2 linked regions of the Macaca fascicularis genome follow. The protein of the gene in region 2 purifies or fractionates together with the protein of the main gene of each other region. This does not show direct contact. Links are inferred from orthologs where the notes say so. Each region holds a gene or a part of one and is shown on either strand. Other genes may lie near its edges.

Evidence for each region.
Region 1: the proteins of OS9 (region 2) and SERPINA1 purify together in Homo sapiens (affinity purification with western blotting; 4 studies listed by BioGRID). This does not show direct contact. The link is inferred for Macaca fascicularis from reciprocal best matches to the Homo sapiens genes OS9 and SERPINA1.

The regions. Positions count from the first base shown.
Region 1 is NC_088381.1:162,412,303-162,421,694, forward strand, and holds the start of SERPINA1 (alpha-1-antitrypsin), read right to left. Parts: upstream 5,087-9,392; 5' UTR 5,044-5,086; intron 4,699-5,043; 5' UTR 4,608-4,698; coding exon 4,492-4,607; intron 1-4,491.
Region 2 is NC_088385.1:64,529,198-64,537,833, reverse strand, and holds part of OS9 (protein OS-9), read right to left. Parts: intron 3,298-8,636; coding exon 3,087-3,297; intron 2,977-3,086; coding exon of another isoform or gene 2,974-2,976; coding exon 2,558-2,973; intron 2,378-2,557; coding exon 2,326-2,377; intron 1,218-2,325; coding exon 1,129-1,217; intron 936-1,128; coding exon 657-935; intron 88-656; coding exon 1-87. UniProt on the Homo sapiens protein: Lectin component of the HRD1 complex, which functions in endoplasmic reticulum (ER) quality control and ER-associated degradation (ERAD).

The sequences.
Region 1 (9,392 bases), on a different chromosome or scaffold from region 2:
TAACAATCCTGTGAGGTGCTGATGCTACTATCCTTCTTTTTCAGATGAAGAAACCAAAACCAGAGAGATTAGGTCACCTATTCAATGTCACTGAGGAAGTAAAGTAGCAGAACCAGAATCCTACATCTAGGTCCTGCGCCCAGGCTCTGGACAGCTCCACTTACATCTGCAATGACCCTAAGATGCAAGTGGTACAGCCACTGTTTTACAAAAGAAGCAAATGAGGCATAAGAAGAGGAATGGGCCTGGCCACGATTATCCAGGAATCGGGCCAGATCAGAATGAAGAATCACGTCAAGCTAGAAGCCCTTGGAGGGCTTCTATCTAATCCCACTGTTGAGTGGCCAGGGACACTGCTGCACAGAAGGGAAATGCATCTTGCACAATGGCACCAGCTAGAGCATGGTGGGGCTGTGATTAAATCCCCTGGGAGCTGTTCCCCCCCAACACTCACAAGGATCCTCAGCCCTTAGGGTTTTTTCCTAAGAGAGGGGGCTGTCCCCACAATGCTCTGTGGTCCCAGCCACAAGAATAGGCTGATGTCCCTGCAGTCAGCTCACCTGCCATCTGGATCACCAATGGTGTCCCAGTTCTGGGCTCTTGCTGTCAGGGACTTTAGAGAAGCTCATCTCTCCTGTGAAGCAAGGCTTTGTGCTGCTTTAAGGAGATGGGGGTGGTGGGAAGTGAAAAAGCATCTCTTTTAGCTTCAGATAGACCTGGGATCTAATCTGACTCTGTCACTTTCCAGGTGTATGAGCCAGGACACGTCATTTATCTCCCTGGTCCTCATTTTGCCTCATACATGAAGTGAGGCTGTTGGAAGAATTTAGTGAAATAAGTCTAGACACCAAACCTTACATCAAAAGGATCTGAGAGGGCAACCCTTTTGAGGGAGGGGTTGACAGGTGTTGCAAATTCAAAGCCTTCAGGTGATAGTCCAGTGAGGAATACATGTTTCATAGCTGGGGCTGAGACAATAGGGAGTGGTGGGGCCTGTGGCTGAACCGGCGAGAGCAGGCTCTGCTGAGCAATGGTCAGAGTCAGTGTCATCCACAGCAACGCAGAGCCTGCCATGCCCCACAGTGCTCCTTCTACTCCAGATATGCCCAGACTTCGGACCATCAATCTGCAGCCCCCTAAGTAGAACCTGCTGTCTACACAGATGGGAAAACTGAGGTCCTAGCTGAGGAGAATATGCCTGGCAGCCACATAGTTAACTACTAGTCACAAAAGTAAAATCATCATCTTAACAAAATACAAAGAAAAAGGTGTCCTTGAATTTGGGAAATGAAACACTGGAGAAAAAAGTTGGAAATAACAAATATTGAGATTCATTGACCCCTGGACTGTTAAAAGTTTCTTTCCAGTAAAGCAACAAAATGAAGCCTAAAGCTGGTTTCTCTCTACCACCTTTCTCCTGGCCCTCTTGCCTCTAAGTAATCCAAATGGAACGGACCACACACTACATAATACATGTTTGTATTTTTCTTCAACTAGCTAGTGTTGTTAGAACTGAAGACGGTGCTAAAATTAGTGCTGTATATTTCCATCTCCCTTAGGTTTCTCTTTCACTTCCCAGCTGGATTTTGTGCAGTCCTTCACGGTTTATGGAAATTCCCCCATCATTACAGGGCTCAGAGGTCAGGAGGGAGTTGGGCCTCTGCAGGGTGGGGACACTAAATACGCTGAGTGGCCTTAGGGCCAGAAGTTGTGGCTTTAGTCCTGGCAGGGCCACCACTATCCATTTGGCCTTGAGTAAGCATCCCCTGGTCCTGGGGCCTCACTCTCCCCAGTTGTGCAAAGTGGGGCTGGGAGAAGACCTCACTGGGGACCTCTGTATGCTAACATAGGATTTTTTTTTTTTTTTTGAGACAGAGTCTCGCTTTATCCCCCAGGCTAGAGTGCAGTGGTGTGATCTTGGCTCACTGAAACCTCTGCCTCCCGGGTTCAAGCAGTTCTCCTGCCTCAGTTTCCCAAGTAGCTGGGATTACAGGCACATGCCACCACGTCTGGCTAATTTTTGTATTTTTAGTAGAGACGAGATTTCACCATGTTGGCCAGGCAGGTCTTGAAATCCTGACCTCTTGATCCGCCTGCCTCGGCCTCCCAAAGTGCTGGGGTTACAGGTGAGTGTCACTGCACCCAGCCAGGATTCTTGGTTAGAATGGCATCTGGGTTCGATGTAGCAAAACAGATGGAGAAGAGGCACCCTCCTAGACAGGAGGCTGCTGGGCTCGAAGGAGGTGGCGAGGCTGGTGCAGGGAGGGTGGAGAGGGGGTGACAGCTGGGAGGAGCACAATTCCCCACACCCATCCATCTTTCCTGGCGTCACATCACCTCCTCTGGTTTCCTCCTTTCACAGTGAAGAGTTTGAAGCCCAGAGAGGGTCAGGGCCTTGTCGAGGCCATACAGCAAGTCGGTGACAAAGCTGGAACAAGTCTTGGCTTTCCCAGCACTCAGATCACGGACTGAGACAGCTGTGCCCTCAAATCTCAGATGATGAATGGCAGAATTGGGCTCTGACATTGGTCTCAAGCTTCGTGTTGGGTTCATTATGCCTCCCAAGCTGTTCCTCATAGCATCAGGACTCCAAAACCTGCTCTCTCCCGGCCCTTCTATCAGAGGCAGCACCCTGCACCCTCAAAAGCTAGTGCCTGGGAGGGCGGCTGGAGAGGAGAAAGTAGATGGTCAAGTACCCCATGGTGTATGGACACTGAGGCCAAGCTTTAAAACAGAAGAATGAAGACTTCATGGTGACATTTCTGGAACTGGGGCAGGTGGGAGCACCCTTTGCAGGGCCAGGGAGAGGGAAGCAAGCCACTTCCTGCCTAATCTCACACCATTTCTACCCGGGAGCATAAAATAAGGGACCAAGAGCAACCCAGCAGGGTGCAGGGAAGAGAATCTCGCCTATGGTCAAACGACCTGTTGAAATGGGCAATAAATAAACCCAAGTGTGACCAGGCCCTGTCACTTACTGGCAGGGGGCCCGGGGTAAATGACTTCACTTCTGTGAGCATTGGCTTCAGAGCTATACAGTGGAGAAAAGAATCCCTTGGAGAGAGATGAGGAATAACTGACGTAATGCGAGAGTGGGCACCAGGTGCGGAAGCCGTCCCTGTGCCTGCACAGAGGTTGAGCTCCTGCCCGAGAGATGGCAGATTTCTTCCTGCCAGCTGCTGCGCTCCCCAGGACCCATTTCAGCAGGAGGGGGCTCCTGCTCAGCAGTGAACAGCATCTGAGTTTGGCCAATTTTCCATTAAATTCTCCAAGTATTTGTTTACTGCCTGCTAGCTGCCTAACCTATGCTAAGCAAACATCAACCTCAGTGTCACCATCATTGCCACACTTACTAACACCAGGCGATTTACAGGCACTGTATCATCTAATCTGTCCTCAAAGCTTACCCTATGAGGTGTAAATGATGAACCCTATTTTATAGACAGAAAAATTGAGGCCCAAAGAGGATTAAATAACTCACTAAAAATCACAGAGCTACTTGCTTACAAAACTGAGATTTAATCCCAGATGTTTTGTCTGGGATTAAACAGATGTGACTGCAAAACCTGACATTTAATAGTCTCTGTGTACAAAGCTGGAGCCAGAAGTCTTGAACCAGAAGATTTCAGAGGTGGCCTGGCTAAATGAAGAGGGGCAGCCTCAGTTTGTGGCTAGAATTAGAGGCTCTCAGGCCAGATTGCTCCAGATCAACTTGCTATTAACTGTGTGACCTTGGACACGTTACTTAACCTCTCTGAACCTCAGTTTCCTGGAGATGAGAAAGGTGGACTTTGTCATAGAGTTATTGTGAAATTAAATATGCACAAAATACCAAGAAGTGCCTGGTGCACAGTAAGTTCTCAAGAATACCAGTTCTTGCTGCTAGTGCTGCAGGTCTTTTAGAGGCGTTCTATGGGAAACTGGCCAGCTTGGCCTTGGTCAGCTTTTTGACCCCTGTCTCCAAACTCAGTGCAGGAAAAATTAAATTCTTCCAACACTCCAGAGATCAAGGTCGGGTGGGGTGAGGGGAGGGGACAGAGGTCAAAGGTTATCATGTTTTGCCCAAGAGAACAGAGAGGTTGAGCAACTGTCTGAAGTCACCGAGCATCAGAGAGGCCTCAAGTCCAGCCCAGGCTTCCTGTTCCCCATCCAGCGCCTGAGACCTGAGAGAAACGGTGAGCACTAGGGCCAGGCTCAGGAGTTCGGGGCCTGGAGCCAGGTGCCTGAGCCCAAATTATGGATGGTGTGTGATTTGGGGCCAGTTATTAACCACTCGGTCCCCAACTTCCTCATCTGTAAAATGGGAATCACCCTGGTAACTGCCTTGGAGGGTTATGAGGCTTAATTGTGCACAGAGCTTAGCCGTGGCCTGGCACAGAGCGATTATTCAGGAATGCCAGCTTGAACCCTGGGTGACGGTGCCCCTCACAGCTTCCTGTCCTCCACTGGGACAGGAGGGCCCAGAGGTCCACAGTGCAGGGGGAGACCCACCTTGATGTAAGGCTGAGACCTGGCACAGGTCTGTTCCTGGCCGTATCTGGAGGGGATGGAGAATGTGAGCCGGCGTTCCTCCTCACCCCTCCCTGAACCTTAACCTCCTCATCCATAGAAGGGGAAAAAGATGCGTGTCCAAGTAGTAGGAGAGGTGGTGAGGCTTACAGGAGACAACAGATAGGAACCCCCTGACAGACACAGGAGCTGCACAAACAGAAAGAAATGGCTGCGCTTCCTTGCTGTTGCTGTATCTTGGGGTGCCAGGACCGCGGAGCTAGACACCCTCGTGCACTTCTGCTTACAAAAGCCAGTGTATCCACCAGTAGGTACTGAGTGGGGACCGGGCAGGACTGGGAAGCAGGACACAACCCTCATGGCTGCTGTTATTACGACAATAGGAGCCCAGCTGCAGCCCCTCCATCTGCCCGGCACCTCAGCGGGCGGATACCCGCTCCACAACCCCCCTCCTGCCCCAGACCTGCTGCCTGCCTGGGCCGTGGGGGACTCAGAAGCCTCTCCAGAACCTCTCGCAGTGAAAGGCATACTTACGATTCACCGTCCCAGGTCAGTGGTGGTGCCTGAGGCTGAGGAGACAGAGCCCTGTCCTTGTCCGTATTTAAGCAGTGGGTGCAGAGGGGCAACGGGGGAGGCTGCTGGTGAATATTAACCAAGATCACCCCAGTTACCGGAGGAGCAAACAGGGACTAAGTTCACAGGCTGGGCGCTGAGTCGCCCGCCCACGCTGTCCGGACGCTCTGCCTGAGCAGCATACAGCCTCCACTGCACGTACCAAAAGGAGTCATTGTACCTGGCTCAGAAACCACAGTGTCCTGCGTCCAAGGTGGAGGGGGTGGCGTGAGTCAGCCAGTCGCTGGGAGAGTACCACTTTGCTGGCCCTCTGCTCTCACTGCAGAATCCTTAGCGGCTGTTCCACTGGTAGCAAGATCTACCATTTACTAATTCACCCCGAAATGCCTGATGCTGAAGACTGATGCCGCCCTGGGAGATCAGAGTGGGTTAGAGCCCATTTGACAGATGAGGAAACTGAGGCTCAGAGCAGAGAGGCCGCTCATCCGAAGTTACCCAGTCAGCCTTAGACACAAAAACCCTCTTGATTGTCCGGATGGAAAAATGGAGCATGACTGAGGCAGACACAAGCGTCAGGCCAGCATGGGGGACCATGAGACAGGGTAGAGGTGGGAGAGCAAATCTGTAAAGAAGCGTGATGCTGTCTCAGGCAGGCCGCTTCACCTGTTTGAACCAGGAAGTGTTTCACCTGCATCCTAGAGAGTTGGAAGTCTCATTCCCAAGCATGCTTGTGAAGTGCCTTGGGTGAAGTGCCTGGCACACAGTAGACTCTTTATGTGGGTCTGCACAGCCCTCTGCTTAGCCTGCCCCGCAGGCTGCTCAGAGCAGGAGGGGGTTCAATTCTGACCAGCCTCAGGCCTGTTTCTGTTTCTGCTCCTGGAAAATCAGTGTGATGCGTATACAGCTTGGATTTTCTTTGGGAATACGGCCCCCATCCTGGGGTTGATGGAGGTCTTTGGGGACTACTGGGGATGGAAGGGAGGGGTGGTACAGGGTTGAGGCCAGTAGGGCCCCACTTGATTGCAATCCCTTTAAAAGCCTAAATCAGATTGCATCACCCTTTGTGCAATGTGCAAACTTGCTTGGGAGCTGGCGTACGTGCCGTGGATACTTCCAGAATGAATGGATGAGTGCATTTTTTGCCCCTTCTGTCATTCACCAGTCCCACTTATGCCTCCACCTTGGGGCTCTACCAGGCGAGTGACCCACAGGATCCTCCAGCACACATATTCAGACCAGGGAACCCACTTACTGGCTGTGAGGCCTCAGGTGAGTTGTTTAACTGCTCTGAGCCTCAATTTCCCCATCTGTAAAATGGGGACGGTGACGGTATGTACCTTGTTGAGCTGCTGTGAGGATTAAAATGCAACAGTTCAAGGACAGCTCAGAGCTGGGTGCTGGGTGTGCCCGGAAAGTCCCTTCTGATGCTGTCCTTCCTCCCCCATGTCAGGGGTCACTGGGGTGGGGTGGGCCACATTTGAAGAACTTTCCTCCAGGCAGTCTCATTCAGTTACCCTGTGAGGGGAGTAGGTACCACCCTCTTTTCAGGCAGTGGGAAACTGAGCTCAGACTCCCCTCCCCTTCTCTCTGAGCTCTCTTCCCTGCCAGCTCCATGCCTTGGCTTCAGGGCCCCTGTCCTTCCCCTGAGCTGGCTGAATGGATATTCTACTACTCTACGTCTACTCACAGCTCCAGTGCTGGGCTGTGGTTGAGGTCGCCTGCCCTCGGTACCTGCTGGGCATTTCTTCCCCTCTCTGAGCCTTCGTTTTCCCATCTGTGCCATGACCCCCACTCCAAGCCCCACTGTCCCTCCCATCTGTGGAACAGAGTGAGCAGCAGCAGCATTGTCCCACCTTTCCTGCTCTCCTCAAGCTCCGTCTCCTCTGGCAGGCACAGGAGAGTGGCCTGGGGGCTGGCAGAAGGTTGCCGCCCCTCCTACCTGGAATTCCTGGCAGCAACAGTGGCTAGGCCTTCCTCAGAGTGCCGATCCCCTCCTCCTCCTTTGCTCAGCTCAGTACTCTGAGGGTTGCCGCGTGGAGGCAGTGCACGCCCTGGGCACAGGGCCCAGTTCCTGCCCACCCAGGAAGTTGGCCTCGGGTGGCGGGTGGCGGAGGCAATAGGTTGGGGAGGGGCGGGGAGCTTGGGCAGGAAGGGGCCTTGCCCATTGCCAGGCAGACACAAGACTGGGCCCTCATAAACTCAGAAAGCCCTGCATATCACCTGTTCTACCCACCCTGTCAGCTCTGTGACCCAGGACGAGTCACCCTCTCCCTTTGAGCTACCGTAAAAGGTGCAGTCACACTGCCCAGAGGATTACTAGAAATGACAGGCCTTGCCCTCCTGGCACAGACCTGGCACCAACATCTGGCAGGTTTCTGGGGCCAGTTGCAGAGGGAAGAGGACTGAGCCACCTATGACATGCCCAGTGGGCAGCCCTGCGGCTGGGCAGGTCTGTGTGCACTGGGGAGGTGTGTGTCATAGGACCTGGCTGGGTGCAGAAGGGATTGCAGCGGGGAGCTGGGGCATTTGGAGGAGGAATGAAGAAAGCATGGGTGGGAGCAGGTGGGGCAAGTAAGGGGCTCAGAATTTGGGGTCCTGTTCTTTTGGTTCCAGGGCTCTAGGCTCAGCCCTTGCCCTGCTCTGGACATCCATCCTGGGAGGAAGGGCTGGGATGATCTGGGAAAATGCACCAGGACAAAACCCCGGGCGGTAGGGGGAGGTGGGAGCACTCAGTGGCCATTCACAAGGACACTGTGACCCCAGGAACCCCAGGACACGATGGGGAAAGTCTTGTCCACTCGGTTACTTCCAGAATTGTCTATTGCAGCATCTGGGCTGATCCCCTCAGAGGAAATGCGTCATGGGAAGATCCTGTGAGCTGGTAATGAACAAGGGGCATCTGGGGAGGCCCTGCCCCATCACAGGGCCCTGCTCGGAGATGGGAGCCTCGTGGTATATGCTGGATAGGGATGTAGGAGTCAAGATTTGGGGTCTGCAGCAAGGAAGCGGGTAAGGGGGTAAGCCTGGCCACAATGTTGGGCAGGCTGGTGCCAGTGGCCTTGGGCCAAGTAAATCCAGACTGAGTGACTGGTCAGGAGAACAACAGTGGACTTCAGGGGAGCTGAACTCATTGGCAAAGTGCCCCGAAGAGTGCTGGCCACCCCACAAACACACACATGCACCATGCACACCCTCGCTCTGCACCCTCCCTCCCAGGCACCAGCTTCCTTCTTTGGGAGGCAGTGCAGGTCACTGGTTAAAGCATGGGCTCAGGATCTAACATCTGGGGTCAAGCCTTAGCTCCACCGCTCTTTCTGTGAGCTCTTAGACAAGCCACTTAACCTCTCTGTGCCTCGGTTCCCTCATCTGTGAGATAGGGAGACTCTTAGAAGAGTCACTTCCGTTAGGATTGTGAAGATCAAATGAGGTAATAACATTTAAGCACTTCGGGCAGCCTCTGGCATGGGATGGGCCCCAAGTCAATGCTAACCACCAGAAGCCACAACCTTTGGGGATGTGTCCTCGCTCTGAAAAACCTTATAGACAGGTCTCAGGGGTCTAAGTGGGAGAACAGCTGCTGCGTTTGGCCCCAGACTTGGTGAGCAGCACCTGTTGTTGAGGGATACCTCCTCAGATTCAAACTTCCATTTTTTCCAGAAAGAGGCCGTCAATCCGCTCTTTAGGGGCTCTGCTCATTTTGGCTTCCTGAAGGTGCATCTGCATCTTTCTGAGCACCTGTGACATGCAGAGGACGTGGGGTGACTGGAGCTAAGCGGACTTGGATCTGGGGGAGGGCCTCAGTTCTCTGAGAATTGGTTTCGTTTTCTGTAAAATGGGGATAAAAGTCTCTTTCCCACGTAGTTGTGAGGCTTAAATGAGGCGATGCTGGTGGGGTATTTAACACAGAGCTCTGTTAGCATAATTGACACTTGTGTCTGTCTTCCTATAACTCATTTAATTGGTGGGGTTAGTTGGGTGTTCGAAGTTTATCTTCCAGGAGATGAATGAATGAAGTTTGCACCATTTGTTTACCTCCTTGAGGGATCTTTCAAATTAACCAACTTGCAAAACCCCAGCAGACACACTTTCCTTCTCTGCGTCACCTCCTGAGCCGCTTCCTGTGTGTCGGGGGGGTGGTGGATTTCTGCTTTTTCTGGAACTATTTGGCCTACTCACAACTTCTTGTTTTTCTTCTTCTTTTTTTGAGACAGAGTCTCACTCAGTCACCCAGGCTGGAGTTACAGTGGCGCAATCTTGGCTTACTGCAAACTCCACCTCCTGAATTCCGGAATTGCAAGTGATTCTTGTGC
Region 2 (8,636 bases):
TTTGTTGAGAGTGGATGTCAGAGCCAGCATTGCCCGATCCCGCTCTGACTCCTTCTTCAGTCCATCTGGGTCCAGCTCCTTCTCGGTCTGGAATACCCAAGAGAAGAGAGTGAGTCAAGGGTCTGGGGCGTGGAGGCAGCCAGCGGGCTGGGCTGTGTAGGAGAGTCTGATATTTTGAAATGGAGTTTTGCTCATCACCCAGGCTGGAGTACAGTGGTGCCATCTCGGCTCACTGCAACCTCCGCCTCCCGGGTTCAAGAGATTCTCTTGCCTCAGCCTTCCAAGGAGCTGGGATTACAGGTGCCCATTGCCATGCCTGGCTAAGTTTTTTGCATTTTTAGTAGAAAGGGTTTCACCATGTTGGCCAGGCTGGTCTTGAACTCCTGACCTCAGGTGATCTGCTCGCCTCGGCCTCCCAAAGTGCTGGGATTACAGCGTGAGCCACTGTGCCTGGCCAGAGAGTCTGATATTTAAGTCTTGTGCCTCTCTCTGGTCCCCCTTCCCCAATAGCCCCGATTAATTAGGGAAACAGCTATCATTTCCAAGTGCCCCGTCCTTGCCCTGTGCTGTGCTCTCTGTTTCTTTTAGTCCCTCAGCCTGTCCTGCTTCACGGGACCAGGCGGCTGTGGAATTACAGGAGGAGGAGCTGGGCTTGCCTCCTGGATGATGTTCTCCAGTTCCCGCTCCATGCCAGCCTTCACCTCCGAACGGAGCCGGTCTCGGTCTGACGGAAGCAGGATCCCTTCCAGTTCCTTCTCAAATTCTCCCAGTAACTGCTGTTCATCCTCATCTTCATCCTCATCCTCATCCTCGTCCTCCTCTTCTTCCATTTCTCTCTGCCGTTCTGGATCACCCCTTTCCTTCTCCTCTGGTTCCCTCTGAGGGACTTCTGCAGCATCATCCACAGGCTGCTCTTGGCCTATATTTGGCTTCCCCTGGGTGGGTAGGGAGTGGGGAGAAAGAGGTAGACAGTTGGAGTTTCAACAGAGACACATGGTGGGGGGCAGACAAATAGTAGCAGGTGTGTGGTACTGGGGGACCCAGGAGTTGAGTCCCAGGTCAGCGTAGGTTTTCAAATGCTCGCAGTTGGGAGGTGGGTTCTACCCATTCCCTGAGCATGGCCTATACCTTTTTTGTTCCACCTTTCAGCTCCTCTATGAATCGAATCAAATCTGCAGGGCTTCGAATGACTTTGACCTGCACGTTGTTCTGAAAATCTGAGATGAAAGAGTAATAATCATGAACCAGTTCTGTTGTGTTTAAATTTTTTTTTTTTTTTTTTGAGACGGAGTCTTGCACTGTCACCCAAGCTAGAGTGCAGTGGTGCAATCTCTGCTCGCTGCAACCTCTGCCACCCGGGTTCAAGCGATTCTCCTGCCTCAGCCTCCCAAGTAGCTGGGATTACAGGCGCCTGCCACCACGCCCAGCTAATTTTTGTATTTTTAGTGGAGATGGGGTTTCACTATGTTGGCCAGGTTTGTCTCAAACTCTTGACCTCAGGTGATCCACCTGCCTCAGCCTCCCAAAGTGCTGGGATTACAGGCATGAGCCATCGCACCCGGCTCTTTTTCAACATGGAGTGTTACTATGTTGCCCAAGCTGATCTTGAATTCTTGGGCTCAAGCAATCTTTCTGCATCAGCCTTCCAAGTAACTACGATTACAGGTGTGCGCTACTGCACTCCTAAGTGCTCTTTGGATTCCTAAGGACAGGTAATGAGAGATCAAGGAAGGACACGGTCCCTGCCTCTAGGGTTTACCTGTTAAATAGTGAGACAAGGGCAAACATTCGTCTGCAGAGAGCACTGTTCTAAGGTGGACACTCCGGTAGGAGAGATGGATGCCAACAAGCTGCTAAGTCCCCACTCTTCCATGCACTTCTGAGGCCTTTCTGGCAGTCACTCCAGCTTTTAGGACTACAGAGGAGATCCTGGGGCTAAGGACTTATCTTCCCTGGAACCCTTCTCCTCTTTCCACAAATATTAACCATTTAGTTTATTCAGTTCCAGGCCTTCTACTATGAATTATGGATGCATTCTCATTTAATCCCGTGCAACTCTCTAGGGTAGGGGTTATTACCCTCATTTTATGGGTAAGAAAATTGAGGTTAAGTGAATTACAAAGTCACCAAGTGGTGGAGCTACTGTGTTCTGCCACCTTGCTAAAATAGCAGTGCTGTCTACAAAGAGTATTAACTCCTGTAAAAATGAATTTGCTGCTGGCCTGGCTACTCAATCTCCCTCCCAGTGCTTAGCTCTCCCTTCCATCTCTATCCCTGCCAATCCTAAAATATATATGGTAAAGGAGACATGGAAGGTTCACTCACCATTGGGAGCACCTGGAGCTGAATCTGTTGCCTCAGGGCTTGGGTCCTGCTCCTGACAAGGAGAAAAGGAAAGAGTCAAGTATGAAAGCCTGTTCATGCCCTCCATACTATGAAGGCAAAGGTTCTGGGGATATCCTTGCATCCCTAGGTAGATGTAGGTCACCTCACAATGACCTCAGCTACAGTGACCCTCCCCATTCCCATCCCGCTCCTCTGAGGCAGCTGGTCTCACCTCAGCCTGCATCTCCTCCCCTCCTGGGGCCTGGTCCTCTGGTTCATTAAGCATCTTCCAGAAATCTGAGTCCTTACTGTCATCCTTGGTCGGGCTCGCACCTAGGGTACAGAGAACAGGGAGACATTGATCTGACAGGAGGGGTGAGACAGAAAGGAGCAAATAGGATGGGGTCCCTTCCCCTCCTCTATCACCAAGGGATGAGGGCCCATGGTACTCTCCCACTCCACCCCACCAGTCAGTCAGGACAGTAAGATCAGGGGAAGGGAAAAAATGGAAGCGAGTTTCATGGAACAGGTGAAACAAGGTCCTACCTGCCATTTTTTGGGGTGCCACCCCAGACTTGGTCTCACTCCACACTTGGGGGCCCAAATCTTGCAGCTCCTCTATGATTTTATCTCCATACTGCTTTGAGTCTACTGAGAAACAGCATGCAAGCAGGCCAGGAACGCATTCCTCTGGCTATTCAATACTTGATCTTTTGCCGCCCCCTACCCCCGTATCTTCTCCTCCTTCTCTAATTACTCACCTGCTTGCCTCTGAACGTAGGCCATGTACTCCTCAGGCTGCAGGGAAGGGTGACAGAGGATGGCCTGGGGTGCAGCACTGGGTGGGGGCCGGAGGAGAGGGTGGGGGCAGAGCCGAGGAGTGCGAATGGTCAGCACATAAGAGCAGGACAAGGGCTCGTCCACGCGATCGATGTAGTCCCCAGAAATACCTGCACCCTCGTCACAGAGGAACTGCCAGGACAGAAAGGGTGAATACACTTAATCACCAACAATAACTTGCTTTAGTTCTTAGAGCAGGTGTCTTTACTAAGCACTGATTATCTGTCAAGCATTGTGCATACACTGTGCATATGGCACTTTACATAAATTTGCTCACTTAATTATCACAAAGACCCAGTGAAGGGGTATTGGTATCTCAACTTCGTGCCTCAAGAAACAGGTGTGATGCAGTTAAGGCACTTGTTCAGGTTGACCAGCTTTTAAGTGGTAAAAACAGGAACTGAACTCAGGCAGTTTAACTGTAGGTAACCAATTTGTGTTTCATATTCTTATTTTGTACAAATATTGTGTGTGTATATATATATATACTTATATTTGCTTTATATATGTATTATTATTATTATTATTGAGATGGATTCTCGCTCTGTCACCCAGGCTGGAGTGCAATGGCATGATCTCGGCTCACTGCAACCTCCGCCTCCTGGATTCAAGCGATTCTCCAGCCTCAGTCTCTCAAGTAGCTGGGATTACAGGCACCTGCCATTATGCCTGGCTAATTTTTGTATTTTTGTAGAGATGGGGTTTCACTGTGTTGGCCCAGCTGGTCTTGAACTCCTGACCTCAGGTGATCCACCCGCCTTAGCCTCCCAAAGTGCTGGGATTACAGACATGAGCCATGAGGCCTGGCCTGTATTATTTTTTAAAGTGTATATATATTTGTGTATAAATATGTATTTTTCATATATGTGTATATGGTTAAAAACTTCAAACAATTCTAAGATTCTTATATCATTCAGAAAGAGGGTAAAGATATTGATTGGCCTTTGATAAATTAAGCATGCAATATTCTAATTTCTAAAATAACTATTAAAAGACAGCCTGGTGGTTCACAACTGTAATCCCAACACTTTGGGAGGCCAAGGCAGGAGGATGGCTTGATGCCAAAAATTCAAGACCAGCCTTGGCAACATAGTGAGACTTATCTCCACAAAAAATTTTTAAAAATTAGCCATGTGTGGTGGTGTGCACCTGTAGTCTCAGTTATTTGGGAGACTGAGACTTAAGGGATCTTCCGTTAAGAAGATCAAAGTTACAGTAAGCCAAGATCATGCCACTGCACTCCAACCTGTGTGGAAAGCAAGACCTTGTCTCAAAAACAAACAAAAAGTGGGAGAGGTCCTACTTCTGAAATGGCAGCATGAGGGACTTCGCACACTCCACAGGGAAACTCCATAACTGATGAAAATTTAAAAACACAAAGCATGGCCAGGAGCAGTGGCTCACACCTGTAATCCCAGCACTTTGGGAGGCCGAGGCAGGCAGATCACCTGAGGTGAGGAATTTGAGACCAGCCTGACCAACGTGGAGAAACCCCATCTCTACTAAAAATACAAAATTAGCCGGCCTCGTGGCACATGCCTGTAATCCCAGCTACTTGGGAGGCTGAGGCAGGAGAACCACTTGAACCTGGGAGGCGGAGGTTGTGGTGAGCTGAGATCGTGCCATTGCACTCCAGCCTGGGCAACAAGAGCAAAACTCTGTCTCAATACAAACAAACAAAAAAACACACAGCATTTAAACTCTTTGGAAATTTTCCTAAGGACATATAACAAATGAGGAAATGTTTACTCAAGAAAATCTACTAAATCTTTTTTCTTTTTCAGACAGGGTCTCACTGTGCCACCCAGGCTGGAGTGCAGTGGCACGATCACAGCTCACTGAATCCTCAACCTCCTAGGTTCAAGCAATCTTCCCACTTCAACCTCCCAAGGTAGGACTACAGGTGTGTGCCACCATATCCAACTAATTTTTAAAAATTTTTTGTAGAGACAGGGTCCCACTGTGTTGTCCAGGCTTTCTCAAACTCCTGGGCTCAAGCAATCCTCCCACCCAAAGTGCTGGAATTACAGGTGTTAGCCACCATGCCCAGCTACTAAATCTTGAATAGTGAGAATTTGCAGCACTTGAGCCATGACCTGCTCCCTCCACAAAAGCCATGGGGTGGAGGGCAGGAATTTCTATCTGGAGTTACTACAACCCCACCCAATAGCTCAGTTTGACAAAAGCTCCACTCCAGCAGGTGAGTGTAGTTTAAAAAAAAGGTGGGGTGGGGTGGTGGAAGGGGGGAGGGACTTCCTATTCTCTTAATATCCAGTCATGAGATATGGTATATGGTGTTTTACCAGGAGGGCCACGAGCTCCAAGGTACAGCAACTAAATTCCTAAAAAAGATCAAGGGCTCCCTTCCTCCACCCAGCCCCACCCACAGGGCAGAGGCTTTACTTCAAGTGCAGTGGGACAAGAGTATCAGGGCCCTGATTGCCCTCACTGAAGCTTGCTCAGAGAGTGGAGGGTTCACAAAAGGAGATGCAAACTTAGAGAGTAGAGGCTGTCATCCCTGCCTAGCTCCCTGCTCATAAAACAGGAATGTCCTTCCAAGGGAAGCAAGCCATTGTTCCTGACCCCAACTCCAGAGCAGGGCCTGGGAGATTTTGCCCAGCAGGAGAGGCAGTCCATAAGATCACACAGCTCTAACATTCTCCAAAGGACCTGACTTAATATGAAACAGAGTATGGGGAAATTCAAGCTTACAGGCACTTCAAAAATGTAGAGATTTTGGCAGGAGGCAATTAAAAGGAGGCTGATTGTTCCGTGATAGCAACAGGCTAAACTTTGGGACAGCTAGTTTAACAGAGAGAACCAGGGAAAGGGCAACTGAGAGCCGTCCTGGAGTCATAACAAACCTACATATTGCCCTCAAAAACTAGCCTGACAAAGGGGCCCACAATTAACTGGACTAAACTATGGAACAACTTATGCCCCACATGTCGAAAACAATAAAGCAATTAGTTGGCAATGAGTGGAGCCTAACAGCTGGGGGTGATACCAGCAGAGGCAGATGGCTTAACAAATTCATGAAAGAAACAGTCAGAAAGAGCCTGTTGAAACCACTGTCATCTAGTGTGGCTGTGTGCAGGGCCAAGATTGCCCTCTGAGAAGACACTAGAGGCTTCATGTTGTGAGGGAAAGAGACTCCACTCAAGTAGTTCAGCCAAGTCACTGAACAAACAAAAGCCATGGGGTGGAGGGCAAGAATTTCTATCTGGAGTTACTGCAACATACTATCTAAAATGGTTTTCAACAATTACAAAACATGCAGAAACAGTAAAGTATGAAACATATATAGGAAAAATATGCAGGCAACAGAAACCGCCCATGAGAGGGCCCAGATGTTGGATCTCACAAAGACTTAAAAGTAGCCATTACATTAATAAATACGTTCAAAGAATTAAGAATTTAAGTCATACAAAGTGTGTTCTCTGACCACAATGGAATAAAATTAGAAATGAATAAGGAAAAAAATTTGGAAGTTCAGAAATATGTAGAAATTAAACAATAATCTCATAAGTAACCAATGAGTTAAAGGAAAAAAATCAAAAGAAAACTATAAAATACCTCAAAAATGAATGAAACTGAAGACACGACATATCCAAACTTACAGGATGCAGCTGAAGTAGTGCTTAGAGGGAAATTCATAGCTATAAGCATCAATTTTTTAAAAACAAAATCTTGACTCCATAACCTACCCTTCTACCTTAAGAAACTAGAAAAAGAAGAACACACTAAACCAAGAGCCAGCAGAGGGAAAAAATAGAACAAAAATAAATGAAATAGAGAACAGGAATACCATCCTATGTGTCCAAAGACAGGGAACCACAGATACACCTTTGTAGGGAGTTTATATATGTTTTTAAGTTTCTGTAATAAAAGGTTTCAAAAAAGACAATCTTTAAATATCCATAACTTGCAACTGGCAATTATGCTTTTTTTTTGCTTACTTTCTTTTCTTTTTTTATAGATGCAGGGTCTTGCTGTATTGCCCAAGCTGGTCTCATACTCCTGGGCTCAAGTGATCTTCTCTCCTCAGTCTCCCAAAGTGCTGGGATTATTGGCATTAGCCACTGTGCCCAGCCCAATTATATATAAGAGATATTTACACATGCATATATGTACAATGTAATAATCATTTGTGATAACAAAAGAATTAGGGGGGGAACTATTTCAACCAGTAGAATAATGGTGACAAAATGATGGAACACACAATGGAACTTTATGCAGCTATAAAAACTAAAAAGGGCCAGGTGTGGTGGCTCATGCCTGTAATCTCAATACTTTGGGAAGCCAAGGCAGGTGGATCATGAGGTCAAGAGACTGAGACCATCCTGGCCAACATGGTGAAACCCTGTTTCTACTAAAAATACAAAAATTAGCTGGGTGTGGTGGTGTATACCTGTAGTCCCAGCTACTCGGGAGGCTGAGGCAGGAGAATCCCTTGAACCCAGGAGGCGTAGGTTGCAAGGAGCCGAGATCACACCACTCCACCCCAGCCTGGGCAACAGAGCAAGAATCCGTCTCAAAAAAGAAAAAAAAAAAAAAGATGTACTGCCATTGAAAGATCTCTAAGGTTTATTGTCAAGGGAAATAAAAGCAAGGTATAGAACAGTGTGTTTAATTTACTATATATTGTTTATAAATAAAAAGGAAAGGAAATAAGAATCTCCATTCATAATTGTTTGTAATCATACAAAAAAAGGCTGGAAGGATACATGCAAAAATAAGACCAGGGATAACCTGTGGAGCTGGAGAAGGGATGGTGGGGAGAGAATGGGAAATAAGCAGATGAGAGACAAGTAAGGGAGGGAAATATTTCTTTTTTTTTTTTTTTTTGAGACAGAGTCTTGCTCTGTCGCCCAGGCTGGAGCATAGTGGCGTGATTTTGGCTCGGCTCACTGCAACCTCTGCCTCCCGGGTTCAAGCGATTCTCCTGCCTCAGCCTCCTGAGTAGCTGGGACTACAGACATGCCCCACCACACCCCGCTAATTTTTGTATTTTTGGTAGAGACGGGGTTTCACCATGTTGGCCAGGCTGGTCTTGAACTCTTGACCTCAGGTGGTCCACCTGCCTCGGCCTCCTAAAGTGCTGGGATTACAGGCATAAGCCACCGTGCCCAGCCGGGAAATATTTCATTACATACCTTTTAAATAGTATTTTCTGGATTTTGTATCATGGGAAAGTATTATCTATTTAATAATTATATAAGGAATTTAAAATAGCCATTAAAAACTTGTGAGAGATATATAGGTAGTTGGAGACAAATTTATGAGATATAAAAGAGGAAAAGCTGAAAATGAATGAGCTAGGCATTCATTTCAAGAAGTTGAACAAACAGCAAAATAAACCTAGAAAAGTAGAAGGGAGGAAAAGAAAGATTAGAGTAGAAATTAATAGAAAACAAATACAACAGAGAAGCTCAACAGAGCCAAAAGTTGGTTCTTTGAAAAGACTAATA